Solanum lycopersicum: one gene and its partners. The protein of the gene in region 2 binds, or shares a complex with, the protein of the main gene of each other region. Links are inferred from orthologs where the notes say so. Each region holds a gene or a part of one and is shown on either strand. Other genes may lie near its edges. The genes, in order: mediator of RNA polymerase II transcription subunit 13, mediator of RNA polymerase II transcription subunit 31, mediator of RNA polymerase II transcription subunit 30, MED18, probable mediator of RNA polymerase II transcription subunit 26b, mediator of RNA polymerase II transcription subunit 9 and mediator of RNA polymerase II transcription subunit 21.

Region 1 (4,055 bases), on a different chromosome or scaffold from region 2:
CTTTTTCTTTTACCCTAATTGTCATATAATCAATTATAAAAGATGATAAAAGTAACCCACTATTTATTCCCTTATTAACTTCTTTAAACCCCCAAGTAAATAAATTATTAAACTTACCCCACTAATTCCATAATTATAATCATGAATAGTCCAAAACACCCCTTTAAAACTTTTAGCAGAAATCCGACCAGTCGGGGTTACGCCGCTTGTGACGGTCCGTCGTGTCTACGACGGTCCGTGCTGCAGGTCCGTCACAAAGTTCAGAGAGTTAAATTCAGTAGTGAAGCTTGTGACGGTCCGTCGTATCTACGACGGTCCGTCCTGCATGTCTGTCACAAAGTTCAGAGAGTTGATCCCAGTACCCAGATTTCAGAGTTGAAGTGTTTTGGAACGAAGGCCCTTGACGGACCGTCGTGCCTATGACGGCTCATCCTACCTGTCGTCAAGAGTAATGAGGAGAGCAACAGAAGGAATTACACAAGTATGGGACGACGGAGTCCATCACGGTCCGTCGCGACCATGATGGTCCGTCGCGTGATCCGTCGACCCAGTCAGTTTTTATCAAAAATAGTTCTACTGCTCGAACTGACTAAACAGGTTGTTACAATATTTGATTTGTTGAGACCTCTTCATATTCATTAAGAGTGTTTTTTTATAAAAAATAAATGAACTTAATGGCTGAATCTAAATGATTCAAATTCAAACATAAAAATCAAACGCACTTAATGAGTTGAATCGGAATGATTAAGATTCAGACCTCCATTAGTTGCAACTAAATGAGGCCTGAGGTAAATAATGAAAATGCGAAATGAAATTGTGGGTGTTACTCTCTCTAATACGAAAGACAATAGGTCTCTTTCTCGCAAATCTCAAACCCTACTTGTGATTTTCAAAGAAAGCTCATTATTTTACTGTCTTTCAAAAATTACATCGGCGAAATTCTCCCATAACTCTATTATGTACCTAATTTCTCAATTCTTTTAGTTGATTTATTACAATATTATATAACTTATTCTACTTTATTTGTACAATATCTCGTATTTACTTTCGATTACAAAAATAGATCTAAACCATTAATATTGTAGTAATTATTATCTTAGAAGGCATTTAAACTTATAATAATATATATTTTTTCAACTTTAACCATTTGATAATCTAATTCGTTCAATCGAAAAGTGTCTATCGAGATATCTCAAAGAATTAAAGACAATCTTACAAAGTTGATATTAAAACATGAATTTATTCAAATTAAAGTGAATTAAACAAATTATAAAATTTCCATTGATAGTAATTATCTACATTCTACTTTGTATATTAAGGGGGTATAAGCAGCCGCCGGAGTATTTTGGGCGTTCATTCTGCTATTTTTGCTTACTACGCTGCTTCTCAATTCTCACAGTTTAACATTTTACATCGCCTTCATCAGATCTGATTCTATGTATGCATCTCTCTGTTCTACTCCCTGCTTTTCGGTTCTGTTGTGATCGAATTTACTTAAAAGAAGTGCTTTCGATGTATATACATGTGTTCGTTTTTGAACTGAATTTTGGGGCTTTTTGGTTCTTTCGACTTTTGGGGATTTGTAATTATGAACACCTTTTTTTAGGGTTGAACTAGTCTTACTATAATGCAAAGTGGTAATTTTGTATTTTGGTGTTGCCCCTTTTGTTTGATTAATGGAATTTCGTGTTACTTACAATGGATACTGGAAATATTTGGGGTTGATGTTTCAATTGTGTGTGTTTGATTGCTCTAACATTAGCTAAAAGGAACCCTCGATTAACATATGAATAGTTGTTTGCTTTGCACTTGTTCTAGAAAGATTAAAGATTACTTTTTTTTGGTTGATATTTATTGAGTTCCTTCAACTTTGGCTTACGAACAATAATCTATTGTTTTATGTTTTGTTAGAAGGAAGTGCAGCTCCTTTGTTGTGCAAGGAAATGCTTGGTGCCTCTGATATAGGTCGTTTACTTTAAGATCCATATTGCAGAGAAGTGCACGTGCTTACTTCATCAGGCGTCAAAATTATCTAGTGATGTGGACAAATGTGTTCAAGATCGTATGTTTCTTGCCTTCGTATTGTTCTATGCTTCATTATACCTGCCGTTGTTGTGATATTACAATTTTTGTGAGGGTTAAGTTGAAGGTTTTTATGGTTTACCATTTTGCTTGATAAATTTTACAAGTTTGGAAACCCTAGTAATGAAATTGTGTTAATCTTATAACCCATTTTTATGGAATTCACATAGCTAACTTAACATGCATTTTCTTATTTCCTTTCCTACTAGACTGTTATTTTTCTTTGGGTAGAATGAACTACCTCTCCCAAAATTAAAAGAAAAAGGAAAAAAGAAAAGAGAGAGAACAAAGAAGCCCTCAGTTGCCTCCCTGACCTCTTCTTTCTCTAACACTTCTCCCGACCTCACTAAATGTACACAGTTTCTTCTTCAGTTAGCAATTGCTAGACGATAAAAAAGAACTTCATATTGCAGTCTCTACTATCTTTACCATCACACACTCGTTTGCTTTCAGCTGATTTATTGAAAAACTTACAGCGTCCATGAATTTCATTATCACCCTTTTGTTTCTGAGTTTCTCCTCCAGTAAAATCCTTCCATTCTGAGTTCCAGAACTTGTCCTATTCTCTAATATCACTTAAAAGATTTTTCAAGTTTCTTTGACTGACGGCCAAAAAAGACAGGATCCCTAGAATATGATGTCTTCACCATTGTCTCTCAAGTTCTGCAGGAAACTCTCAACTCTCTTCTGTGGGAAATTTGACTATATATACACGGACCATGCACACCTAAGTATTTATTGATCTACCTGTTAATGCATAATTTTTTTTATTGTTTCTTTCTTGTATGTTAGATACGTGATCATGTTATGCTGCCTATTGGTGCCTGGCGCCATTTTTTTGCTCTGAATCGCTATTGGAACTTTATAATGGCTCCTGCCACTCATTTGGACTCTATGTAAAGAAAAAAACTTACTGTATGGACTGACTAATAAATAGTAATATAAGAGCCTTATTGTTAAATGGTTATCGAGTTTTGGTTTTCTTCTTTCCCAGCAAAATCATATCAGTTAGTGGATATATAAATAAATCAAACAAAAGTATTAGGTTGTCAAGGTTCAATGTTGATCAGTAGGAAGAATTGTTGAAGAGAAACTGTAAAACCAAAAGTGTAGTTAGCTGGGGAAAATGGTGCGCCAAATCTTACGATATTAGACACTTCTATAGTTGTAAATAAGTACATCAGGAGCTATATGGGAGGAGTCCTATTATTTGGTAAGATTGGAAGTTGGGACAGAAGAAATATTAGATTTTGGAACTATGGATGGCTATGACATGACCCTCAATAGTCAGTTTCCATGACATGTACATGGTTGGTTGATGGAGTTGTCAGTGCTGGTATATAAGTTTTAGAAGAAGCTTTGATGAAGGTTATGATGTGGAAAGGTCAGAGTTTATAAGGAACTGGAATATATTGAAGGCTCAACTTCAGCAGTAGATTCAGTGTTCTGGAAGAATGGTTAGAAGGGAAGTTCACAGTGAGCTCTGAATAGGATCTGCTGAACAATCCTTCTGAAGGGAGTACGCAGAAGCCCTGGAAATCCTATGGGATAGCAAGGCTCCCAAAAAGTAGCTTGTTTTGCACGATCACAACACATGAGGCACGTCTAGACCGTGACAACTACAAAAAGAACATAAATATGTAGCAGATGCTTTTTGTGGGTCAAAGCGTGTGAAACCCATTAAAATTCTTTAATACTTTTTGGAAAAAAGCTACTGGTAGATCTGGTGCTTGCTCTTGAATATATTTGGTGTACAATGTGTTATGCAAAATAAATGAGTACTTTTGAAAGCTGGCAGGTAAGAAGATTAACAAGGCAATGAAAACCTTTGGAGTATGTTTCGGCATTATATAATATGAAGTGTGTAGAATGGTCATAATCAGATTTTTAAGGGCCAACTTGAGGCTGTAGACGACTGAATGTATGTGTTCATATTTTTTGCTTCTTTGGTAGGATGAACAATGTATATGTTT
Region 2 (4,205 bases):
TGTCGAGAAAAGGACACACGGCATAGTTTCAAACTGAAACTCATAAATATATATGGGGAAGCACTTCACTTGACCAAAACGAGAAAAGAGATGAGTGATAACATGAAATCCTTGGAATTCCGTTAATGAAAGTGATACAGCTAATATAATTTTGTGTGCTGCACTTAATTTCAGGTCTATAGATCTAGGTTGTACCGATTCTTAAGTGTCACACCACCCAATTCAAGCCAAATGGATAAAGTTCCTCTTTTGTTAGTTTTCTGGAAAGACAGTAGGCCCTTGAGAGTCAGTACCTGCAACTTTGAGGACACGGAATTGGAACAGTCGAAGGGGAAAGAATAACTACAAAGGCAAAGGTGATTATAGGAATTCGTACAGGCTAGCCGAGGAGAGGGACCGTAACCTTGCCCAAGTGAAGTGCATCAAAGACCATAAATACTCCTCCCATTTACCATAGATTATAGGCAAAGGTTCATATACTTAGACCACACTAGAGAAGTTGCTCCTTCATTTATCATCAAAATCTGAAGTTCACATGTCAATATGGTGATTCGAATTCTTCACTCCATTGATAACCCATTACTGCTATAAGTGTGCATTGGCAATCTTCCAGTCACCTATCACCAGATGTCTGAGCTAAGCCTAAAAAATTAAGCAATTGAAACCACAAACGAGGGCATCCCAAAAGAGTTCAAAGGCAGGCTGCTTCCTTTCTGTTTTGGTTACTTGGTTTGGGAATAAAATTAGTTCTACATTTATTTCTTAAAGAAATTTGATCCTAGTGAACCCAACAAATGTGTAGTTGATCTCTCGCAAAACTTTAGCACTATGTTTTCTGACATGAGAAAGAAAGTACAGGTCATTGATCATGCTTGAGACTTGGGAAGGACTCTAAAATTCAATAAACAACAAATCACACTCTTAATAGGATTTCATTAATGTGTTTGCCAATGAGGAACTGCAACACCTATTCGAAAAATGAAATCATGGGGTGCAAAATGTATTACCTTAATTCATAAATTAGTTGATAGGAGGTCTGTGCTATGAGTAAAATAAAATTATCCGTCTTTCCTGCTAAAACAAAATTATCCAAGTCAATAACCATTTCAGAAACATTACGTCACAAATCTAACCCTAAAATATAAAATCATAACAAGAGGGAGCATGCAACAACAAGCATTGACAAAGTTTTCACAGTAAGAGAAAAGTAAAAGAGGAGAGGAAATACTTTCTCTTTCTTCGATCAACAGAAGCATTCCTTGGGTCCGTTTTAGCAAGACCAGATCCAGGAGGGATGGCATACTGCATCGGGGAAAGAGCTGCAGCTGTAACAGGTGTAGGAGCAGGAGGTGGAGCAGTTGGAGGGGCTACACTTGATGGTAGTGATGCAGGTGGAGCAGAACTTGGTGCAGTTGCAGGCTCAGGAAGCGGCCGCGGCAAAATATGTTTCAACCGGTTATTTCTGTAGTTCTTCCAGAAGTAAAATTGCTGCCTATGTGCTACTTCCTAATAGTTGTTACAAACATGTAGATCAGATCCTATCACAGATTTATGTGCCAGAACTTTAGGTTGGCAAACAAAGTGCAATAAATAATAAACAGTGAAATGAGATGAGATGTCCTCGGGGCGAGAATTAACCTCGACAACACGATTAAATAATTATAAGTTTTATGCCTAGAAACTACGGGAAAGTTCAGAAATGGAAATAAGGCTAATGGCTAAGACAATGAAGTACCATGTATTATAAAGTGTTTTGGCAGCATTTTTAGTCCATAGAAACTGTGTTTACAGAAAGTGGGGTGAACCTTCTTTATAGTGGCTGACAGTCTTAACTAACTAAAGAGTATAGCAAAAGTGGAGAAGGAAACCAGGACAACACATGACATAACTTTTTACCTTGTTAGCAGGATGAGCCATTGCATTACGAAATGTTGGATTTTGGAGAAGCTCGAGAAAGAATAGGCAGTGTGGATACCTGCATTAACATCAAGAAAGGAAAACCAATACGATTAGTTAACGATATCCATAGTCCACAGGAAACAGAAAAGGAACAAGGACCATCATCCACTGCATCTAAAAAGTTGCAGTAGAAAGAACATACATAACTATTATCACATATTAATACTATAAACTAACTTACATTATAAACTTTATGTACTCAGGTCGTTGCCAGTACTGAAGGTACTTCAAGTACCCAATAAAAGCTTCATCTTCAAAATATCTGTTCTGAGCCAAATCTGCATCAGAATCAATACAAAGTCCACAAAACAAAACAAAAAATGAAAAAGGGATAGAAAAATTGAAGCTTTTGCAACCCAATATTCATTTTCACACCAACAACATATATAACATAAAACTAACAATAATTGGTAAATACCCAGAAAACATCATGTTTAAATAAGAGAAGGGAATAGATAGATAGATACAGTGAATGTAAGTTGGGTTAGCAAGGCATTGAACAAATTCGAGTTCGAGTAAGAAACGTTGGCGCCCATCATCGGGATCTTTATAGACGCTTTTCTGCCTGCAAATTGGAACAGAAAAAACAGTTGATTAATGTGAATTTGCGAAGATGCAAATTGATTTGAGATGAATTGATTCTGCTTACGGTGATTCATGGGTTTCTGGATTCGATGTAGAAGCCATGCGCTAAACCCTAACTAATTCTACTTTTCAAAGTTAGCCGTTGATTGTATTGCTGCGCTATATATACAAAAGGAAAGTCTGAAATTCATTGCATTTTTAAGATGTAATGTAAAAATGGATTAAATTCATATTGAAATAAAATTTCAGTGTTAAAATGACATCTTGTATTTGATTTTGATCCTAATTTTTATTTGCTCAATATGAGTGTGTCATTAGATTCATTTACTCACCTAGATTATACAGTCGATCAGATTGAAATGGTTAGAAATCTTTTTTTTAAGTGAAGTCATAATTCTCATATGTGATTATACCAGTGTTACTAAAGATGAAAAGCGCAAAAAAGCTCTTACGATCCATGGGGAATTTAAGCGCAAATAAAATGTAAGCTTTGATGAAAAAAGACGCAAAGGGAGGAAAAGAGTATAAGTATGCATGTTTAGTCCAAAACTAATAACTATAAACATGAATATGTCAAATATATGATCAAAGAAATTGAAAATAATTATGACAAAGTGAAATATCAGTGATTTAACTTCACTGTCTCATAAGAGGCTCATTGGTAAGGTGACGTTTGCCTTAGAACATTGGTGAAGACACTAAAGTGCACATAAAGCGACGCGAAGCCCTCAACACGTTTTTGAGTCTCGCTTGCGCGCTTTATATCTAAGTTTTGACCAGTTTTTTATTAGTATGCATGAATTTTTAAGCTTAAATTCGTAGTTATATAAATGTGAAAATTGTGATTTTAGTCCAAGGGGTTAAAAAAAAAAGGGCGATTTTGGATGCAACCTTCATGATTTTGGTTTGGAATAAAAATCTTATATCACTTTTGATATTTATAAGCTTGAATTCAAGTTGACTCTGTTTCGGTTATTTCTCAAAGAAACATGTCTACGGGCCACAACTGAATATATGTGTCATGAAAGAGAGGTGCATAATACCATGCCTAAAATGAGCATGGAAATTGGGGGTTTTGGACCTACAACTACGAAATCATATTTCGATGACCAATGTTTCCAACCAAATTTTAGATTTGTTTACCCTTTATACAATTACCAATTTGGACTACTTCAATTGGTATGTCCATGCTTTTTCCTATTAACAAGACGCTTTACCATACACTACAAAATCTTCATCTCTGTCTATACCAAAGCATTTTGTATCTACCCTAACATGGAGTAATAAATAGTCCTTTAATAAAATTAAACACCATTGGTCTTATTGCATGTAGCTATTAGGATTTGAAGTTGGGGATAAGGAGGTTTAGGAGAGGGGAGCTTAAGAGTGACCAAACCACAACCATACATAATTCAGACCATCTCCAACAAACTGTCTATTTTATTTGTCTTTTCCATTTGCTGCCCAAAATGCAAGCATCTGAGCAAGCTAGCAAAGAAAAAAATTCTCAATCCCCAGAACCTAAAACATCATCCACAGAGTTGAAATTTATGTCAGCTAATGACTTATTTGAATTAGAACATCCTTTGCCCTCAACCAAAGAGAGTAAAACAAGGAGATGCCCTTTTCACAAAGCGAGCTCCATGCTTCTCTAGGGAAGG
Region 3 (4,022 bases), on a different chromosome or scaffold from region 2:
CCGCGAGCAGCATATAGCAGGTGTCCGGCGATGACCAATTTTTTGAATCTAGCAGTAACTTCTGTACAAAAGAAGTGAAAAAAAAATAAAACAGTTTCTTAAGATTGAATACGTTGCTCTTTTGACATCTCTAACACCTCACCGATTTAATTGTATGGTTGAAGTTATAGCAGCAGAGTCATGTAGAACAGGGACTCTGCCATGTACATAGGTCAGCAAGAAGATCTCGAAGCTGGTCAATCAGAAGTTTGAGATGCTTGTTCTTGTCTACAAGCTCCTGCAATTTGTAAGAACAATAGAATATGCTTTAAATCTTGATCACAATAGCAACTTGATTTTTCACTACCGTAAGATAATAGAAAACTATTAGGCATGCACTCAAGTACGATAAAACTCTACCTTCACTTGAGGACTTCTTATTGCCACTAGGGGGAGACATAAAGCAAATGAAACAGGATTTGACTAATTTTAACGCAATAGGAATAAAATTAATAATAATACAGTATGTACAACAAGCAGAGGATGTTGAAACCAAGTTTTCATATGTTATCACAAAATCATATTGTTCTGATTTGAGGTTGTGACAAATATCGAGACTTGAGAAAGTTTGTACAGTAAGACATTTTGTCATGTGTCCGGAATGAAAATGTAACATGTAGTATACCTCAATATTGTTTTAATGGATAAGAAATTACTCAATGGATCAAGGAAGACATCAGTCAAGGTTCAAATATTGGCACACACATTTGCTTCACCAAACCCACCCATCATGCATCCCAAAAACCAACAAAAATCCAAGGAAATTCTAATATGTCAAAATTTGATATGTTATCAATACCTTCTTTAATGAAGAGGCCCGGTCTTCCAGCTGCTCAATTTCCGCTTGATCTGCTGCAGATAGTGAACCACTAGCAGAAGCAGCTTCCAATGCTTTTGCCTAGCTAACAAAGCCAGTAATGAGTGTGAAGTATCATACAATAAGTTAACAACTTTCCAAAATGTACAAGAAAATATAACTTGTTAATCATGAGAATTGAGACAACAGAAAGGAGAGTTTGACAACTTCCAGTTAAAACGGAGCAAATACTTGCACAACTCTTAAGAAAGAAGTTACTAAAAGAACTCATTTAATGTGTAGTCGGACATATGTTGAGCAACAAAAATGCACTCAACATCAGTGATTTATTTGTTCATACTGACAAACAAAATTCTTACTGCTTAACCAGATTCTCTCCAATGCACAAATGTTAAGGCAATCCATACACCAACACCAAGGACTTGAGATGTGATTATAGTGCTAATTCTTTCTTGAAAAGGATAACACGCAGTAGTTTATCTTGGTATAAACACTTATACCTCATGTGCGTTTAAACAGCAGAAACAAGAACAACCTCGAAAACATAGTTAAATATCTTCCCCCATCCCCAGCCCCCAACAGCCACCCACAAACCCAGAAGAATATAAGACAAATCAGAAAAAGAGTAAGCAGCACAGTTGAGCTTCATCAACTGATGACGAGGGATGATCAAACGACTGAATATTATATTCATAGTGAAGAAATATTATCCCCATGTCTAGAACATCAAAATATACAATTGCCATGTGCAAATGTTGCTCATATTGGTAAGGGCAAATTGTGCTAGTATATAACCACATGATGTCTTTCCCATATCAATCACCAAAACTGTTTAACCCCTTGTTTTGTGATTAAGATCAATCACCAAACACTTTTCACACTGAATTTACCTTTATCGCTAGATAATGTCTTTTTTTTTCTGCTCAAACTGGATAATGTTTTTCTCTCCTACAGTACTCCGAAGGAACTACATTTCTAGAATATCTATTTGAGTTTCATTCCCAATCAAAACTACCATCTAACAGAACACCAACACCACCTATGGCTCAACACAAGCTGGTTGGTGGTGGAAGTATACGAATCCTCCATATCCATATGGAACCACTTCACTCCAGTATCAAATAGTTTTAACCTTTGGAACCTCTAAAACTAGAGGTTATCTACGTTGGATCCAAATCTTTGCGGTCACGTTGAACTACCTTTGGCATTGAACAAAGCCCCAGTCTTTTACACATTTTCTGTTTAATGGACTTCACTAGAAGTGATTCATTCATATAGCTGAACCGAACTAGTTTATGATCAAGCCATTGTTGATTCATGATTACATCAAACTAACTTTTCCTGAGATCACTATCTTAAATTACAGATATCACACAATTACAAAAATGTTTTAAAAAATTGCATTTTTATACGTAAAATTACCTTTTGGGAATTAGAAATTGCAGTAAGAACAGAACGCAAGGAAGCAATAGAGGACTTATAACGCAGACGAGATTCATCAAGAGCACCACCACCAATATCCAAATGCTGAGCTGAAGCAGAAGAAGACGAAGAAGTATCAGACGAAATGTCGCCGTTTGTATGGTGCTGCTGTCCATTACTCAAAACACCACTAGCACCAACTCCTCCACCGGCCACCGCCACCGCAGAAGAAGCAGCAGCTGTATTTAGAGTGGACCAAAGTGATGGATTACAGAGTTCATCGTTCATGGCGGAGAGAATTTGATGTGCTGCTTCTATTGTATCTTCTAAATGCTTTTGCCCTTCTACTGCTAGTTCTTGTATGGTTTTAGGGCTTGTAATTGTGCCTTTATCCTCCATACCGGGTAATGTCACCGGCTTGTCAAAACCCTAGATCGACGGCGGCGGTAGTGGTGGCGATCGGCGGTGCGAGAAGTTGTAAGGAGAATTAATTTAAGCATAAAATGACGTCGTTTTATGCGTGGCGTGTACTTTTTGGGCCGGGTAAGGAGCTATGTATTACTGGATCAAGCCCAAAATCAAGTTACTTGGGTCAAAATTCAAGGAAAAATTATATAAATTAATACATTTTAATAAATAATTACTGATTTTAGCGATACTTTTTATTTATTGTCATTTATAGCAATATTATGTAAAATCTGCAATATGAATTAAAAGTGAATTATGTATGCAATGTACGTGAATTATAAGTTGTTTTTTGAAATATATTAAGTTTGTTTACTAAATTTGACACATTCTATTATAAATGTATTAAAATGTGTGAAAAACGTATTATCCATCGTTAAAATTTGTATTATATGTAATATTAAATTGTTATTTATAATATGTATAAAACTTGTATTATAAATAAATTAAAACTGATTAAGTAATTTTTTTTTATTATTGCTATAAATGGTAAATATTTTTTTAATTATAGTACGTGTATATAAGTTCCCCGAAATTCAATGGGGGAAAGAAGTGCACAAATATCTGTGTTTAACGTTGCAGAAAAATTACCAGATTACATAAACATTCCTATCATATTTACTACGTAGTTTTTTTTTCATAATTTTGAAAAGTTACGCATCGTCTTCTAATTAGTAATTTCATACTAGATGTCAAGTCATATAGACCTAGATGCATGTAATATACTACTATATACACTTTAAAATATAAACTTATAGAAAAAAAGACGAGTGAAAAAGACGTAAAGTGAATGAGAGAGAGTCTATGTATCGCAAATAGATGCAAACTAAAAAAAGTGTGATTCCAATTAAAATTAAAAAGCGAAAGAAGAAATGTTTAAAAACTTCCATTTGAGATTTTGAAAGAAACAAATCAAAGATTCCTTTTTTTTTATTCAACGTGCCATTAATACCTAATTAAAAAAAGACAACACCATTCGAATCGATAATTAGTCTTATTGTGCATTTTAATAATAGAAATTAAAATATTATATATATATAATATTCTTTCTATTTCATTTTATAAGACACTTTTCAGATTTTAAAATTCAAATAAATTTATTTTATAAAAAGGAAAAAATGACAAATATATTCTCGAACTACCGTAAATGATATGCAGATACCTTCAGTCATTATTTTGGGACATTGATGTCTCTGTCGTTCATAAATTAGAGCATATATGCCCTTCACTCTAACGAAGGGACAGGGGTACCAATGTCTCCAAAGTATGACGGTAGGAG
Region 4 (3,984 bases), on a different chromosome or scaffold from region 2:
GTTTGCTTTTTTTCCTTGTCTAACCAAGAGGAGAAATCAGTCTTCAACATACTTTATGAATTGTGATGATGATATGACAAATGCGTAGACAACCACAAGGGGTCAACATATATTTGTGGGAGCCAAGGTTAATTAATCAACCGTCTTCCATATTTAAGGTATAATAATACCTTGACTATTATAATAAAAAGAAATACACTTAGCCAAGAAGGTTATAGTAGTTAGATGTAATCGAGATATACACCAGTGATTTGGAAGGTGATTAGCTGAAGGTGCTCTGAATTTAAGGTTTTCTATTTCCTTAGATATTACTACAAGCGAGAGGAATAATCAATGTTGAGTGTAATAGAGAGAGGCACTTATAACTTAGAGATCAATATTGATTGGTGGACAGTGAACACCATACACTAATCATAAGTGAAGTCTAGATTCAACTCCTTCTGATTAGAACAAAAAAGTCTATATTCAACTCGTTTAATGAACTGATGGATACTCTTTCACCATCATTCATGTCATAGAACTCTTATTTATATTTCATTTTAGTCAAAAACATTCCGCCTGCTTATCTGATTACTCGAATAGTAATTGAGCAACACTAATTAGGATAGCAGAAACTCAATCCTTGTGGGATCAACATCTGCCATACTATCTTTAACAGGAAACAAGCATTGTTTTAATACTCCGACGTTACCCTCATCAACATGTCAAAGAATCACATGTACATCATCGCAGAGAATCACATCTGTATCATCGACAAAACCATGATAGGCAACACTTTGTTGAAAACAAGGCACTCAACAGTCAACAAGTGAATGAGCAAAAACCATGTGGTCTCGACCTATAAATTAGATGTACTGAAAGTGAATCATACTTGAACCTAATTCCATTCAATAATTGACATGCAGCACCACAGTACAACTAGAATAAGATGGACCATAAAAAAATTATCAGCTATGTACAAACTCAAAGGTGAGAAAACCTCCCTACGAATGCATAGATGGTTGTGAGCATTTGCCTCAGCCACATCAGTACATACATGACCATTGGGTTAGTTCCTAGTTCCATAATAGTTCAAAGAGAAAATACACTTACCTAGGTTAGGGACACTTTTAAGGCACAGTTCATGAATCCTTAAGCTTTGTTTATGTACACCACAAAGCCCTTGAAGCAGAATTTCCAGGGCCTCGACATGCTGCAAGTATGATTAGCACTGTCAAGATCTTTTCAATAATCAATTGCCAAAAACTGTTTCAGTAAATGCCGTAGTATACCTTTTACAAGTAGCATACCTTCTAAAAGATTGAATAAGAAAAAAACGAGAAATAGGGGGAGGTTTTATCATTACTCCAGGAACTTACTTGAGTCTCAATAATTCCCTGAACCACACACTCCATTCGCACTTCAATTTATTCAAACCTACATGCAAAGAACTCTTTAGAACATACCTATGAACCAAAAAGATATTAAGTTTAACAGAAGAGTAACAACGAAAAAGCTAACACCTAACCAAAATCATAACAAAGTTGACACTCTTTGTATGAGAAGTGCATTGCTTGAAGATTAATGGATCTTAATATGAATTTAGTTTTGGATTGAGGCTTAAAGTTTTTGCCCGGATTGCCCCTATTTTGGGGTGGTCTTCAATTATTGCCTTTTCCATCCATAATTAGAAATTTAAGCATTTGGTCATTACTTGTCTTTTGGTACACCCAAATTCTCACCAAGATTTTAAGCATGAAACTTCTAATGATCCAATATGCACCAAAAACTGTCAAACTTGCTCCTTTCATTAGGCTATGACCAAACAACCTTAAGTTTTACTAAGTTTCTTCAAAGAAATAGGTAGTAGTGCTGGAATGGTATCAAGTTTTATCAATGAAGTCACTCCACCATGGGTGATTCTTTTCATGTGGAAAATTAGTCACTTGGACACATAGCTTAACTCCTGTTTGGCAAATATTTTCTACATACGTACAACAACATATATACATTCTATCCTCCCCATAGTCCACTTGTGGGATTTCACAAGGTATGTTGTTGTCATTGTTATATGATGGAGCATGTGCTCAGCAAAAACAACGAATGACTACAAAAATGGAGGAAAGAAAGAGAAAATGGAAAAGGAGAAGAATGGGTGAAGAAAAGACAATACCTTGGACTATATGGTATATGTTGCCTTTGGTTTTTTTCGACTATTTTGGCATCAAAATATGATTTTTCTAGTGCCTGTACAATTTGATCTTTGTTTAACATATCTTTATTGTTATACATCTGTTTTTTCAAAGTTTCTACATCAAACTCCAAATTTTATCATCTATACACACTATTGTATGACATATAAAACACAATCATTTAGCATTGTAGAACTAAACATAAAACATCAGAGCAAAAAATTGAAAGAATTACCTTGAACAGTTGAAGCAATCTCACTTTTTCCCCCAATCTGAGCTGCAAAAATTCAATTAAAAAAAATAGTTCGAAAGCTTAAACAGGCAGACCTAAATTAATCACATAACAAAAAATCAACGATAACAACGAGCCAAAGAAAAAAAAATTCTAGCTAGAAATCTAGGTTTCTATATCAAACAAGGTCCAATTGTAACAAAAAATCCAGTTTTCTACATCAAACAAGGTCCAATTGTAACAAAAAAATCTAGGTTTCTACATCAAACAAGGTCCAATTAATCACATAACAAAAAATCAACAGTAAAAACGAGCCAAAGAGAGATTTTTTCTAGCAAGAAAAATATGTTTCTACGATCAATTGTAAAATTAAGGTTTAGTAATGCAAGCTATGGCTGAGAGAAACCAAAACAATTAGCAGTAACAGAGATAATATGGTGATTTAGTGCTCAATGAAGTGGTCGAAAATATCAAAAAAGTCGAAACTCAAGACATAGGGTTGGAATAATACCTATTGCGAAAAGTGACAAGTATCTCGTAGAATCAATTGAAAATATTAGCGGATTCTTTTCATACGAGTGGATAAATGTCTGTTACGAAAATTTGATTAGTATCTTATATAATTAATTAAAAAATATTAATGGATTCTTTCTATAGGAATGGATAAAATAATTTGATACCTTATACGAAAAATTGATTATTACGAAATTCTTTGATAAAATGATTTTGATACCTTTTACGAAAATTGATAACACGAAATTCTTTCTATATGAATGGATAAAATAATTTGATACTTTTTACGAAAATTAATTATTGCAAAATTCTTTCTATATAAATGAATAAAATGATTTGATTCCTTTTACGAAAAATGATTATTATAGAAAGTGACGAGTATCTCGTAGAATTATTAGAGAAAAGTGGTACTTAGCAGAAGAGAAAATGGTTTGAAAATTTTGGACCCGAATTCGAGTTTAGGCCCATAATTAATTAAGCGACTCAAAGTATAATTTGATAAAATTGTAAGAACCCGATTGAATCTAAACTCAAAATTCAGGGACCAATATTGCAATTTTACATTCCACCTCTTCCAGAAAAAACCCTAAAACCTCGATAACGAAGAAGAAGAAGAAATAATGGGATCGAAAAAATGTCAAGTATGTGATGAAGCACAGTCGAGATACAAGTGTCCCAATTGCTTCATCCCCTTGTAATTATATTTCCATCTTTTTTCATTCTTTGAAATTTATTTGAATTTTAATTCTGGGTTTTGAGTTTGTTTTTAGTTTAAACTGAAGGGGAATGGATATAGATTATTCATACAAAATTCAGAGTAAAAATTTTTATATGTAGAAAAACATCATAATTGTAGCAAATAGAGATATGAATTTGTTGATAAGAAACTTAGGTTTCGTTTGGTAACTAGTTAGAATTATGCAGTTATTTTTTATGTCCGGCATAAAATAATATATAAATTTCTTCGTAGCTTATATATGTATTAGTCATGTAGCTTTCTAAATTGCGGACTTTTATACATTGAAATCATTGCAAAGAACCTTAGGTGTCGTTTGGGAGCCGGTTAGA
Region 5 (4,127 bases), on a different chromosome or scaffold from region 2:
AGTTATGATGGAATCTTCATTAAAGATAACATCAATTAAAGAAAAACGGTAAGCGACAAACAGTGGCAAGCGTTAAGAAGTAATAATAGCTCAAAACTACAACCGACAAAGCAAGCTGCCAGAGCCGCCAAAAAGACATGTTAGTTCAACTCAAAGACAAAAGATCAAACCTTTGCGATAAAAACAAATTCAGCACTCGATAAATGAAGCAATCACCATCATTAGTATGCATTGATGATTGAGTTATGATGAAATCTTAATTTTACGGTAAAGATAAACGGTAAGCGACAAACAGTTGCAAGCGTTAAAAAGTAATAATAGCTTCAAAACTACAACCGACAAAGCAAGCTGCCAGAGCCACCAATACGACATGTTAGTTCAACTCGAAGACAAAAGTTCAAACCTTTGCGATAAAACAAATTCAGCCACATTAAAGATACCCCGGATCAGACTACTAGAACTGTGTTGTGCATACATATTTTGACGACATTCTTACAGTTATTTCAGCAATAAAGCAAGAGTTACTTACTCAATCAATGTCCGAGATAGATGCCGAACATCCTTTGAGTTGTGCTTTCTGAGAGAATTAACCGACTTTCCAATCTCTGTGGCCTGATATAGAAGCAATCAATTATGTCCATCCAGAATAAATTTAAAAAACAGTAACCACAATAAATGGAAGATGAAATTTTGGAAGCGTCAAAAGATCAAACCTTTAAAGTCTCCACAGACAAAGCCATTAGTTGAAGCCTTCTTAAGCACTCAAACAACTCTGCAGACTGTCAAAAAGAACAATAACTCAAAACCCGATTACTAGAGGAAAGCTCAAAACTACCAAGCAAGTGAAATAGCAAAAGATATAAAGAGTTTAAAAGTAGCTTCATACATTGTTTTAAAGCTAAAGAAAGCAACATCCTTGTACAACTAGATCAAAGGAACAAAAAGGGGGCAAAAAGGAAATGAAAAGCATAAAGGTTTCCTAACTGTGACATGAAAACAACCTCATATCAGATTTTCCAGTTATAGACACTAGTAGAGAAAATAGAATCACCATCAAATTCAACCACAAAAGTTCTAAAATCTTACAACATTAGCTCAATTATCAAGATTCTTCTTCCTGATCAACCCCACAAGAACAGAAATTTCAAATCATTAAATTCAACCATAAAAGTAACCATTGTTATATGTCATACAACACCAGAAACTCCAAAAATTTAACAACATTTAAGCTCAATTATCAAGATTTTCTTCTTGATCAACCCCAAAAGTACACAAACTTCAAATTCACATACACAGAGTCCACCAATTCTTGACTGAACAAATCCAAACACAGCAAAATACTTCAAATCAACAGTATAACCAAAATTCAATAGAGATGAAATGAACCTCAGCTTGGTTGTTATCAATGACATCTTTGATCCTCATCACCTCCCCAAAAGTCTGAGTCTCTTCCTCCATTTCCTCAGTTAATGCCTCAGCTTCTCCATAACTATAATTGCTAACTTGATTCACATTCATCTCAACATCATGATGATCTATCCTACTGTTAACTTTGCTCTCTTTACTACCACCAAACTCATCCTTACTCTTAATTTTTCCTTCATCATCATTACCAGCAATTGGTACAGCTAAATCAACTTTCTCACAACCAAAACACATAGTAACTTTACATGTAAACAACATTTCAGCAATTCTATCCCTTCTCATTTTAAATTCCTTTGGACAATCAACAGCAGCAACCATCACTGCATACTCAATTATATCAAATATATCCGAATTTGCAGTACGAAAATAGTCCCTCCATTTATCCAAAGTCCCACTACTCTTCGCCATAACTGATGATTCAGAGCAAAAACAAATCAACCCAGATCGTAAAATCAATTATTTATCAATACCCAAATATACAAATTCAATCTTTATCCGATTTTAATTATACCCACAAGAAAATCATACAAATTCTAATCGGAAACAAGGTTTTTAGCAATAAAAACCTCTGGTTTTCCGATTAGGTACTTTTTCCGATGATCGGAAACTGAATAATCAGTGTCACCGGCGATTCAGTTCTGCAAAATGCAATCGGATACAGATTTTTATGCTTTTTTTTTAGGAAAAATCCATATGATAGAAACTCTATAAACCCAAAATGACAAAACAAAATTAAAAAAATTAAATAAAAATCCGATTAAGTTTTTGGTGAGATATAAGAAGAGAAATCTAGAAAAAATTATTCCGATTGAAAGAAATTTTTCCAGAGAAAAAGAATATATGTTAAAAAAAAAGTATAGAAGATTTTCTCTCTCTAGCTATCTTTTATTATTTTAATTATATTTCTCTCTCTGTAAAAAAAAAAGCAATACAAGGTGCTGGTTCAAAGAGACACGAGAGAGAGGAAGAAAAAATATTGTTTTTTCTCTGTTGGGGGTGGGGGGTAGGGGTTAGGGGTAGGTGATAAGGATCAATTTTCTTCGGTCATTAGCATGGATCGTGGTGAGATGGTTCTGATTCCTTCATTTTTAACTCGAGAGATTGTCAGTATATAAAATATATATTTTAAGTATGAATAAGTGTGAAATTTGAACTAATCGAATTCTGATATGTATATAGAATGGAAATTGGATTTTGAAAACTTCTTTTATGGATGAAATTCATAAGGATAACTTTGATGATGACAACGATAACGATGAGAATAACATATTTGATATAGGTTCATAAGTAAAGTTTAAAGAAATGATATGGATATAGATTTTATTCATATCTCTTTGACATAGAAAAACTATTTTTAACTGTGTTCAGTTCAAAGAAGGATGATAAGAAATAAATAAATATAGTGACATAATATAGAAAAACAATAAAAGAAAAATCTGAAAGGAAATGATTTTTATTTTCAAGTTAAGGAAGTGATTTATCTCTTTGCTTTGAAGTAGTTTTCTTTTTTTATATATGTTTTTTTTTATGGAATTACAAAATAATATATCCTCTTCATTTATTTTTATTTATCTATTTTTAATATATTTCGTAATAATAATAATAATTTTGTTGTGAATATATTAATTGATGAATGATGTATAGTCTTGGATATTGAAAAATGAGCAAGGAGTAAGCAATTAATATCGATGGTAAAATAAGAAAAAAATGTTATTTTTTATATATTAAAAGTAAGAAAATAAAAAATAAAAAAATATTTAAAGTATGTTTTAATTGATTTATTTTTATATAAAAAGAAATATAAGTTGTTAAAATAATAAGATGCTTAATTAATACGGATAAATATATATTCACATTGTTTATTTTAATTTTTAAGAAAAAGTCTTATTACGTTTGATTCGTATAAAATGTCATATTTACATTAAATTTTTTTATCATAATACTGTCTGTTTATAAAAAATATCATAATATTATATTAAATTCAAATTTCAATGACAAACTATTGTTATTTGATACTATTATTCATTTGGAGTTTTATTTTTTTACTTCAAATAAAAAAGGTAAATTTTTTATTTATATAAAGTTTAACTTAAATTTTCTCCAATTTATCTTTGCCTTTTTAAAAATAGCAAGTGGACTAAAAAATTAATTCTCCTGTTTTAGTCTTATACCACCCTTTGTTATATTAGATTTTTTCATGTTGTTTCCTTTTTTGTAGTTTATAAATCATAATATGTTATATATAAATTTATATTTCTTTTTATATTTTAATGAACAAGTTATTGTTATGTGAAATTATTATAATTATTTATTTAGGACTTGTTCGTTCTTTGATTAACTTAAAATTAGAAAAAGAGTTTCAATAAAGATGTTATTATCCTTAAAATCCTAATAAACATACAAATTACTTATTTTTGCATTGTATTTTGTAAATAAAAGTACCATATAATTTTTTTTATTTGTTGAAGTTTGTAATTTCTATTGCTAGTGTTGTATAGTAGATTTTCTTTCTATTTCGAAAGAATTTAATTTATAATACTAAATAAATATACGAAGGAATTAAACTTCATTAAAAAAACAGAATTTTTTTGTTTGATCCAAAACAAAACAAAATTTTAATTTTTTATTTATTTTTCCAATGCATTTATCAATAACGAGGTAACGTTTATATGATCTCGGTCCTCATTGTTATGTTGGATTTT
Region 6 (3,951 bases), on a different chromosome or scaffold from region 2:
TGCGAGTATGAGCTATAGTTCAGAGTTAATAATCTCCTCAACTGAGCCTTTGTACCTCGAAATAAGATCCCTGTAATTAAGCATGAAACATGACCATCAGATGAAGCAAATAATAATTATACAAATTTCAGTAGACAATATTAGAAACACACACACACACACATATATATATGTGTGTGTGTGTGTGTTTTATATATATATAATACAAACCTTCGCTGATTTAGCATTTGTTCGCACTCTGCCTTTTTGCGCTTTTGTCCCTCAACTGTCTGTCCAAAGAACACAGGACTGGTCAATTATCTTACCCATATTTAAGCATCAAAACATGCAACCAAATAAGAATTTGTGGAGCAACTTTGTTCAAGTCAACATCGTTTCAAACATATTGAACCCCACTTTTCAGTAAAATTCTTCACAACTATAAGTTGAACAAACAGGCCCAAATGGAAAAGCACAATTAAAAGCAATAACACTGCCAAAAGAAAAACAATCCAACTCTTCCAGAAAAGAATAATTTTGAAGTTCTGTTTTCATATTATTGCGCTTAACTCTTTGTTGGAGTCTCTCTCTTTTTTCTTTTTATTTTTTGAGTTGGGGGTGTGTTCAGAACAAGTTACAACAGAAATCAAAGGATATGTGTGAAAATGAAATACCATAGATCTTGAGCTAATAGACCCTGATATTGATGTCAACAGCTGCTGGCACTTCTCAAACTGATTTTTCAATTCAGTTACCTGGTGAGGAAAAATACACCCGGTTTAATGTAGAAGAAATGGAAAACTAACATATAATGCATCAATCAAGAAATGAACAAACCAATGCATCTGAGTGCTGATCTCGATTTCCATTTTCAATTGTATCAGCTAAATTCTCCACCAGCTGTAAGATGACAATAAAAGTTAGAACAAAAGGTCTCACTAGGAAAGAGAAATGTCTCGTTACTCTATTAAAATAGCAAGCTACAGATCATGGTTTTTGCCCAATACTTGTAAAAGATGGAAGTGAGAGGCAAGTGATTGGTGGTGCTGTTGTTGTTGTTGCTGCTGCTGCTGTTGTTGTTGTTGCTGCATTTGCTGCTGCTGTTGTTGTTGTTGCTGCATTTGCTGCTGCTGCATCTGTTGCTGCTGCTGCATTTGTTGCTGTTGCATCTGTTGTTGATACCGTTGTTGTTGTTGCTGCTGCTGCTGCTGTTGTTGCTGATAGAGCTGCGGTTGAATGAACTGTTGTTGTTGAAATTGCTGTTGCTGAAGAAATAAATTGTCTTGATTGGAGGGTGTCGAAGGATTACTGTGAGTTTGGATGTTGGGGATCATTGTCCAACTTCCTCCTCCAAAGTGGTCCATAACTAATGGCTGTTGAGCTGAAATCTGTTGGTACTTTGGTTCTAAAATGGATAAAATTAATGTCATCAGATGTAATCAAGTACTACACAAATAGCCAAAACTATCAAAGCATGAACTGGCCTAATGGACTGAGTAGCAAAGAGAAATAATTCCTAAGATTCTGAAATGTACAAACCACTTCAAAAATATATTTCCCATCATTCCTAAATGACATTTCATCCACATCTTATTACAAGAATAGTTCTTTTGTACCAAAGAGAACAAAGCCATCAAGTGAGACCCTCTAAAACTGAAGCCCATCCCTCGTAACAAACAGTAAACTCTTCTTTGAAATTTAACAAACAGTAAACTCTTATCTCCAAGTAAAAACTACCATGACATCTGTATAAATTTGGTGTTCACATTGTTAAATCAATAGGTACATCGGAAAAAATTACTGCTGCAACTATGTCTTTTTGATAAGGTTAAAAATTATCCTTGAATGGGCATCGGGTAGATGCCAGATTACAAAATATGCGACCGCTTAGCTCTAATTCGGAAGGGCATAAAAAAAATCTCAGCACTCATACAAGTATCCTAAACTAAAGCTAAGGAGCTAGCAATCCCAAGCAAACCAAAAGGGTAGATAGTTATTAGTATGCACTAAAAAAGTTTACAAAACCTAAAACTGTAAAATTAGATAGTTATTAAAGTGAGAAATGAATCAATCCCAACTGCACCTCTTACTCTTTATCTCTAATTTAGCTCAGTAATCAAGAAGTATGCCTCAATCCCGAATTAGTTTGGGTTTACTATATGAATTCTCTCCATTAGAACCCCATCTATTCCAATATTCAATAATTTAGGTTTTCATAACCCTAGAGGTTCCCTATTACTAACATACAAATATCTCTCTATCTATGAAATTAACAGTTTTAGGTCAAAATCACAACCTCAAAATTTCCAACAAAAAAGAACTCTAAATCTTCTGAACAGAATCTTCGTTTGCTATAACACTGACAACCAAACCCTTGATTTAAGCCGCCACAAGAGAATGAATTCACAACTATACGAAGCTAAACTTTACTGAAACCACAACTAGTACAGTTAATAACAAAGCAGAAGTACGATGAGAATTACAAAACGAGAAAGATTACCGGAGATGAAAAGGCCCGATCCGGTTAAACCCCAACGGAAAATCCTCTGTTTTTTCAAATAGCAAAATTGAAATTACTCCCGCTGTCCCAATTTGTGGGGAGGTTTCGATTTCAAGAGCAAACAAGCTAATTTAGAAATTTTAACATTTTCTATAGTATAAAATTTAGTATGTATTAAAAAAAAATAGATAATTTTTAATAATTAAAATACTAATTCAAAATACATAAAACTCACTTTTCATTAACCGATTTGATTTATATATGAACTAATATTTTAACAAACTGAAATAGATTGAACTAATAAAAAAGTAGATCACTAGTGCATTCAAATTTGAATGAATTGTATTTAAATTAAGAGGAAACAACACAAAACACACATTTACATTTGTGTTATTTATCGGTTGAAACTATACTTTCTAATTATATTTTCTCTTAGAACTTTACAAAATAGATACATATGAGTCAAAATTAGATATAATTTATTCTATACACTTGATATCTAAGCATGTTTCACATGTATTCAAAAGTCATTATAAAGAGATTGATAAATAAGTACAGTCAAATAGAAAAACTTGCATATGATGTTCATTGATTGGAAAGTTTTTTAGACAGAGTCTTGAAGGAGGTTTTTTGGAGATGTTTGGAAATTGGAGGTATGTAGAAGTCTGATATCAAAACGGACACTTTTTAAACCCTAAACACTAAAAGGGACCCTCTATAAAACACACACCAAATTTTTTTGGAGGTCCCTTTGGGTGTTTAGGGTTCATAAAATGTATGTATTAATGCCAGACTCTATGACGTATATTTAGAAGATCAAGGACATGTATGAAGGAGTCAAGACCTAGAAGAAAAAAAAGCACTTTTCCACTATGAAGAGGTTGCACCAGACATCAACTTTTAGATCAAAATCATTTATCTTGATGATGAATGAATTAACGCGATATATCCAAGAAAGTGTATGATGAGTATGTTACTCGCCAAATAGTGGCGGAGCCAGAAATTTCGCCGAGGTTGTTCAAACTTTAAAAGAGTCGATAATTTTTTTAGCGAAGTGGGTACACAAAATTTATTTTTGCAAATGTGTGAGAAATTAAATTACACATCACTTAGTAACTAAATCTTGCGGAAATTTAAAATGATAAAACTATCGATGGAATAAATCAAAACTAATGGACAAAAGTCACAAAATAATTTTTGCTTGAAATATACTCCCTCTAGTTCATATGAAATAAATTGTCGAGTGTTTTTTGTAATTTAAATAACTGAATAGTTCAAATATCGAATAATGTATGATGAGCTTGAGTCGAGTCACAAAAAGGGCTATGATGAGCCTTTTGAGAGTGACTTTCACGATTATGATGAGTTTTTTTCTCCTATTTTCAAATTCTTAACTATTTTACTTTTTCTAAATAGAAAGATACTTTAGAAATACTCAAAAGTATAATAATAAATAATAATCTTTAATTTTT
Region 7 (4,075 bases), on a different chromosome or scaffold from region 2:
TGTAGTCTTCAATACGTCTCCTGCGTTAGTTTCTTCATTCATGTATTGATGCCAATTGTCATATGACGTGGTTGAGTCCTTCTACCAGTCATAGTTGGACCCACGTTCTATCTAAATTTTAGCATTCAACAAACCCCGATGGCTGTAAATTCTTCTCTTCGTTGCTGTCACGCTTACATATTAGGCAGACAAGGTTTTCTATATATTTTGTGTGGTTGCTACTTGTTTTCGGCCACGCCTCAGTTCCAGCACGACAAGAAAATATTCTGGCGATATGCAATCTAAACTCCCAAAGTACCCAGACACAGCCCAAAATGTGTCTACGAATTAAAATCATCAACTCGGTAGGGTAGTTGTGCATGCCAGCTGCCATGTTTTGGGATCACATGTTTACGAAGTCAGTCTGATAATTGCATAACTTTTGACAAGTGCTGGAGCAGAGAAACTAGCCAACTTCTAAATTGAACACGTGGCACAGAAGACACTAATATTTAAGGATGTGGAGACAAAAAAACTGCTGATTTTTGCTATTTAGGCACATTATCCCTACCTCTTTTCATTCTATAAACACAGCTCTAAACCAGATACAATAGTATACTGAATTCTTTTCTTCAGCAGTGGCCAAGAACTTAAAAAAAAAATAATGTCAGAGCATGCCTAATTATAATTAGTTAATAAATGTACCCATAACAGACATGGACACAATCAATTTGTTGTTCCTCCAGGGTATATTCCAGCAAGAATGGGCTCCTCAAGCAAACTGAAATATCTACTACCTTATTCATTCTGGCTTCTTCAAGTTCAGGCAGTTATCTGTTGCTTGGTTAAACAACTCCTGGACCTGCTTTAGCTCCTTCTCTAAATCACCAAAATCAGCAAACTGAGTCTCAGAATAAACAAAAAATTAATAATACAGACAGGAAAACGGAAATTTGGACCTTAGCCTAATCAGAACAGCTTCCACTATCTTTCAGAAAGAAAGCAAGGGAAAAACAAACTCTTACCTGCAGCTTCCAGTTGTTTTTGAAGTTCTTGGCCAACTGCATCGTTCTCAGCCTACATCACATACATACACAACCGAGTAAGACTACTAAGCCCAAAATAGACAGACTAATCTTTATTTATCCTTCTTTATTTTTTTAGTTTAAATACTGTTAAGCTATAACACATCAGAATTAGAGGATGTCAAAAAGTGAATTCCACCAATTATTCACAAAGAAGCATATACCTGGAGTTCTGCAATTCTTTTCAATTGGGCTTCTTCACTCCCATCCGATAAAGGAAGAGCAGCAACCAACACATCGAACTGCTCAAAGAAGGATAAGAAAAAGAGAAGATAGATTTAATACAATGACATTGTAGCAAAGCATACACTTTAGGATCACAATGAAAATTTGCAATTGGTCTGAATTAGAGCCACACAATCCTCAAGGCTACTCTCAAGTGTCGGCTGTGCTGCTTAAGTTTGATAGGATGCTAGATTAGACAACCTCTGATTGTGAGGCCAAGAAGAAAACAAGGGAAACATAACTGTAAACTTGAACACCTTAGAACTAATCACAGGGTTGTCCATATACATTTCATAGAAGACAGCTAAAGGGCGATAAACTAGAACTCAGTTTTCCGGTTTTGACACCAGGTTTACCCGGTGAGTCTTGGCCTAGATGTCATGGTTACCAAACCTGAGAGGCTGACATCAAGTTCTCTAGTAAAAATCCCTAGAGGCATGCAATCCTGTCCAGCTAGTAGTTGGAATTTGTCCGCCATTATGTGATTCAGTCAAGTTTTATTGAAGTAGTTGGTGATGCTAATAGCATTATTGTATTTCTCGTTAAACTAAGGACAAAAGACTAGGTATTTGAACTCAACCACACTGGTCTCAGGAATCAGGACTAAGGTCTTTGAACTCAACCACGCAGGTCTCAAGTCTGAACAAACAAAGACTTAATATCATCTGGTATAGAACTGCATGTACGCATTAGATATGATGAGCCAAGATACAACTTAGTGTTATCTTGTATAGAACTGCACAAACACATCATATATCTAAAGATTTGACGTTTCCAAAAGTAAACATACTAGTCAAAAGAAGACAAAAGAAACATTATTTTGTCCAAAAATGATTTTTTGAAGGAATGGTAAGTGCATTTGTAATACAGCACCAAGAAGGTGCAATCAACAACATTTACAGGGAACACAAAGATATACCTTCCTATTCTTAAAGGGATTCTACAAGTTCAATCACTTATTCAGGCTCATTTACAAAAAAAATGTCTACACAAAAAAGGAAACTAAACTAAATAGTTTATCTTGATCTTCCGAAAAAAGAGAAAATTCCCTATTCTCGAAGTACACGCAGATTACTTTTATACCCTGGTCTGTGGCTTGTTCATATTCGTTGATGAATAAGCAGAAAAAGTGAAGGTATGGAGTATGGAGTTTCACCTGCTTGGCAGCCTTAACAAAAGCAGCACTCATTTGCTTTGGTTGTTCTGCAACATTAGCTGAGTCTTCTGTGGGATTAGCAGGTGGAGGTTCTGGATAATTAGGTGATAGACGCACAGGAGGGGCGTCCCTCTGAAGAGTACCAAAGGTGTTGAAAGCAAGAGCTGCAATTGTATTTACTTGTTCCTGTAACTGTGATATGATATCCATCTTCCAAATCCTTCCCTTTATTGCTAACAAAAATGGTGAATTTTGAGAAAAGATCGAACAAAGGAATAGAAAACAGAGGAGAAGAACTTACCTGAAAACCCTAGAATTGGAGGTCCGGGTAGAGCCGAAGTAGATTCGATAATCTGTTACAATTGTTTTAAAATTAGACCTAAAATTAACCATTATTTCAATTAAATTTTACGAAAAATGCTCAAAAATATTTCTGAATTATCCGAATTAGCTCACATATATCTTTAAATTAAATTCTAGCCCTTCTATTAAAGTATTGAGTTATTTTTACCCTTAATTTTAACAAAGGTGTGTTAAGTGTCACCTGAACGCCACGTGGACACCATATGGATGCCACATGAGCACCAAAAAACATCATCTCCATGTAGACTCATAAATCTTAATTATTAATTTTTTTCTCATTTTCATTCATTTTACTTCTCTAAAACATAATACGATTTCCCTTTTTTTTTCTTAGACGATTTTCTCTCTTATACGATTTTCCCCAGGATTTTACAAATTTCTCTTATGAACGCCATTGAATTTCTGAGTAAATTTCGTCACTTTCTGAGTTTCACCGTTCTTATAGATAATGCACAAACACCAGTCCTAATTTGTAAAGTAACATGCACAAACACCAGTCATAACTCTTCACATTTACTTGTTTTTATTTTAAACCTTTCAACATAAAGTCTGACTTTATCATTATCAAGTGAGCGCTTAAATGACATAAAATGCAACAAAAATAATTTAGCTTTACTATTTTTTTTAATTGTTTTTTTTTTGTTGTTGTAATTTAGGCTTTGAAAAGATGCACGTGGTCAGCATACGACATCTTAGATCAGACACCACAAAAAATTAAAAAAGAAACAAATAAAATTTATGTTTGCCTTCTCATCCTGCTTCTTTCTATCTTCTAAGCATCAACTATGGCTTCTCTTCTCACCAACGGAATCTCACACTTCTGTCCTCAATCCATCGCTGAGCAGCCTAAACTCCCAAAAGGGTATAACTTTTTGCCTAATTCACCCGGCCCCAAAATCTCAAATCCAGGTAATTTCAAGATTAAAGCTGCTGATGCGAAGGCCACTGTTGAAGTTCCAGGTAAAGAATCATCTTTATCAATCTCAAATGAAGGCGACCCACTTCAGAAATTCTTGAAAAGAGACTATAAATGGGGTTTTAATGAAAATATTGAATCTTTTGCGCTGCCAAAAGGGCTTTCGGAGGATACTATTAGGTTAATTTCATCAAGAAAGAATGAGCCTGAATGGATGCTTGAGTATAGATTGAAATCGTATGAGAAATTTGTTAAAATGAAAGAGCCGAAATGGTCTGATAATCAGTACCCAGAAATTGATTTTCAGAATATTTGTTATTATTCAGAACCTAAAAAGAAACCAACTTTAGA

What was found.
Region 1: mediator of RNA polymerase II transcription subunit 31 (region 2) and mediator of RNA polymerase II transcription subunit 13 share a complex: the UniProt entries of both Arabidopsis thaliana proteins name them as parts of the mediator complex. The link is inferred for Solanum lycopersicum from reciprocal best matches to the Arabidopsis thaliana genes MED31 and GCT.
Region 3: mediator of RNA polymerase II transcription subunit 31 (region 2) and mediator of RNA polymerase II transcription subunit 30 share a complex: the UniProt entries of both Arabidopsis thaliana proteins name them as parts of the mediator complex. The link is inferred for Solanum lycopersicum from reciprocal best matches to the Arabidopsis thaliana genes MED31 and AT5G63480.
Region 4: mediator of RNA polymerase II transcription subunit 31 (region 2) and MED18 share a complex: the UniProt entries of both Arabidopsis thaliana proteins name them as parts of the mediator complex. The link is inferred for Solanum lycopersicum from reciprocal best matches to the Arabidopsis thaliana genes MED31 and AT2G22370.
Region 5: mediator of RNA polymerase II transcription subunit 31 (region 2) and probable mediator of RNA polymerase II transcription subunit 26b share a complex: the UniProt entries of both Arabidopsis thaliana proteins name them as parts of the mediator complex. The link is inferred for Solanum lycopersicum from reciprocal best matches to the Arabidopsis thaliana genes MED31 and AT5G05140.
Region 6: mediator of RNA polymerase II transcription subunit 31 (region 2) and mediator of RNA polymerase II transcription subunit 9 share a complex: the UniProt entries of both Arabidopsis thaliana proteins name them as parts of the mediator complex. The link is inferred for Solanum lycopersicum from reciprocal best matches to the Arabidopsis thaliana genes MED31 and MED9.
Region 7: mediator of RNA polymerase II transcription subunit 31 (region 2) and mediator of RNA polymerase II transcription subunit 21 share a complex: the UniProt entries of both Arabidopsis thaliana proteins name them as parts of the mediator complex. The link is inferred for Solanum lycopersicum from reciprocal best matches to the Arabidopsis thaliana genes MED31 and MED21.

The regions. Positions count from the first base shown.
Region 1 is NC_090803.1:12,734,184-12,738,238, forward strand, and holds the start of mediator of RNA polymerase II transcription subunit 13, read left to right. Parts: upstream 1-1,255; 5' UTR 1,256-1,438; intron 1,439-1,911; 5' UTR 1,912-2,038; coding exon 2,039-2,062; intron 2,063-4,055. UniProt on the Arabidopsis thaliana protein: Component of the Mediator complex, a coactivator involved in the regulated transcription of nearly all RNA polymerase II-dependent genes.
Region 2 is NC_090802.1:52,519,641-52,523,845, forward strand, and holds the start of mediator of RNA polymerase II transcription subunit 31, read right to left. Parts: upstream 2,801-4,205; 5' UTR 2,647-2,800; coding exon 2,609-2,646; intron 2,525-2,608; coding exon 2,427-2,524; intron 2,238-2,426; coding exon 2,141-2,237; intron 1,976-2,140; coding exon 1,897-1,975; intron 1,507-1,896; coding exon 1,229-1,506; intron 1,075-1,228; coding exon 1,059-1,074; 3' UTR 1,008-1,058; intron 836-1,007; exon of another isoform or gene 92-835; intron 1-91. UniProt on the Arabidopsis thaliana protein: Component of the Mediator complex, a coactivator involved in the regulated transcription of nearly all RNA polymerase II-dependent genes.
Region 3 is NC_090807.1:2,029,146-2,033,167, forward strand, and holds the start of mediator of RNA polymerase II transcription subunit 30, read right to left. Parts: upstream 2,801-4,022; 5' UTR 2,678-2,800; coding exon 2,279-2,677; intron 938-2,278; coding exon 839-937; intron 278-838; coding exon 179-277; 3' UTR 143-178; intron 62-142; 3' UTR 1-61. UniProt on the Arabidopsis thaliana protein: Component of the Mediator complex, a coactivator involved in the regulated transcription of nearly all RNA polymerase II-dependent genes.
Region 4 is NC_090805.1:1,888,056-1,892,039, forward strand, and holds the start of MED18 (mediator of RNA polymerase II transcription subunit 18), read right to left. Parts: upstream 2,801-3,984; 5' UTR 2,407-2,800; intron 2,227-2,406; exon of another isoform or gene 2,153-2,226; intron 1,417-2,152; 5' UTR 1,395-1,416; coding exon 1,359-1,394; intron 1,193-1,358; coding exon 1,093-1,192; intron 1-1,092. Other genes in the region: ZNHIT (zinc finger HIT-type containing protein), read left to right, coding at 3,537-3,610. UniProt on the Arabidopsis thaliana protein: Component of the Mediator complex, a coactivator involved in the regulated transcription of nearly all RNA polymerase II-dependent genes.
Region 5 is NC_090809.1:61,266,115-61,270,241, forward strand, and holds the start of probable mediator of RNA polymerase II transcription subunit 26b, read right to left. Parts: upstream 2,801-4,127; 5' UTR 1,834-2,800; coding exon 1,387-1,833; intron 780-1,386; coding exon 714-779; intron 613-713; coding exon 530-612; intron 1-529. UniProt on the Arabidopsis thaliana protein: Component of the Mediator complex, a coactivator involved in the regulated transcription of nearly all RNA polymerase II-dependent genes.
Region 6 is NC_090801.1:55,598,965-55,602,915, reverse strand, and holds the start of mediator of RNA polymerase II transcription subunit 9, read right to left. Parts: upstream 2,801-3,951; 5' UTR 2,480-2,800; intron 1,385-2,479; 5' UTR 1,344-1,384; coding exon 987-1,343; intron 880-986; coding exon 817-879; intron 735-816; coding exon 654-734; intron 270-653; coding exon 211-269; intron 71-210; coding exon 13-70; 3' UTR 1-12. UniProt on the Arabidopsis thaliana protein: Component of the Mediator complex, a coactivator involved in the regulated transcription of nearly all RNA polymerase II-dependent genes.
Region 7 is NC_090801.1:60,839,865-60,843,939, forward strand, and holds mediator of RNA polymerase II transcription subunit 21, read right to left. Parts: upstream 2,656-4,075; coding exon 2,446-2,655; intron 1,307-2,445; coding exon 1,229-1,306; intron 1,057-1,228; coding exon 1,005-1,056; intron 881-1,004; coding exon of another isoform or gene 873-880; exon of another isoform or gene 859-872; coding exon 782-858; 3' UTR 501-781; downstream 1-500. Other genes in the region: iron-sulfur cluster assembly SufBD family protein ABCI8, chloroplastic, read left to right, coding at 3,594-4,075. UniProt on the Arabidopsis thaliana protein: Component of the Mediator complex, a coactivator involved in the regulated transcription of nearly all RNA polymerase II-dependent genes.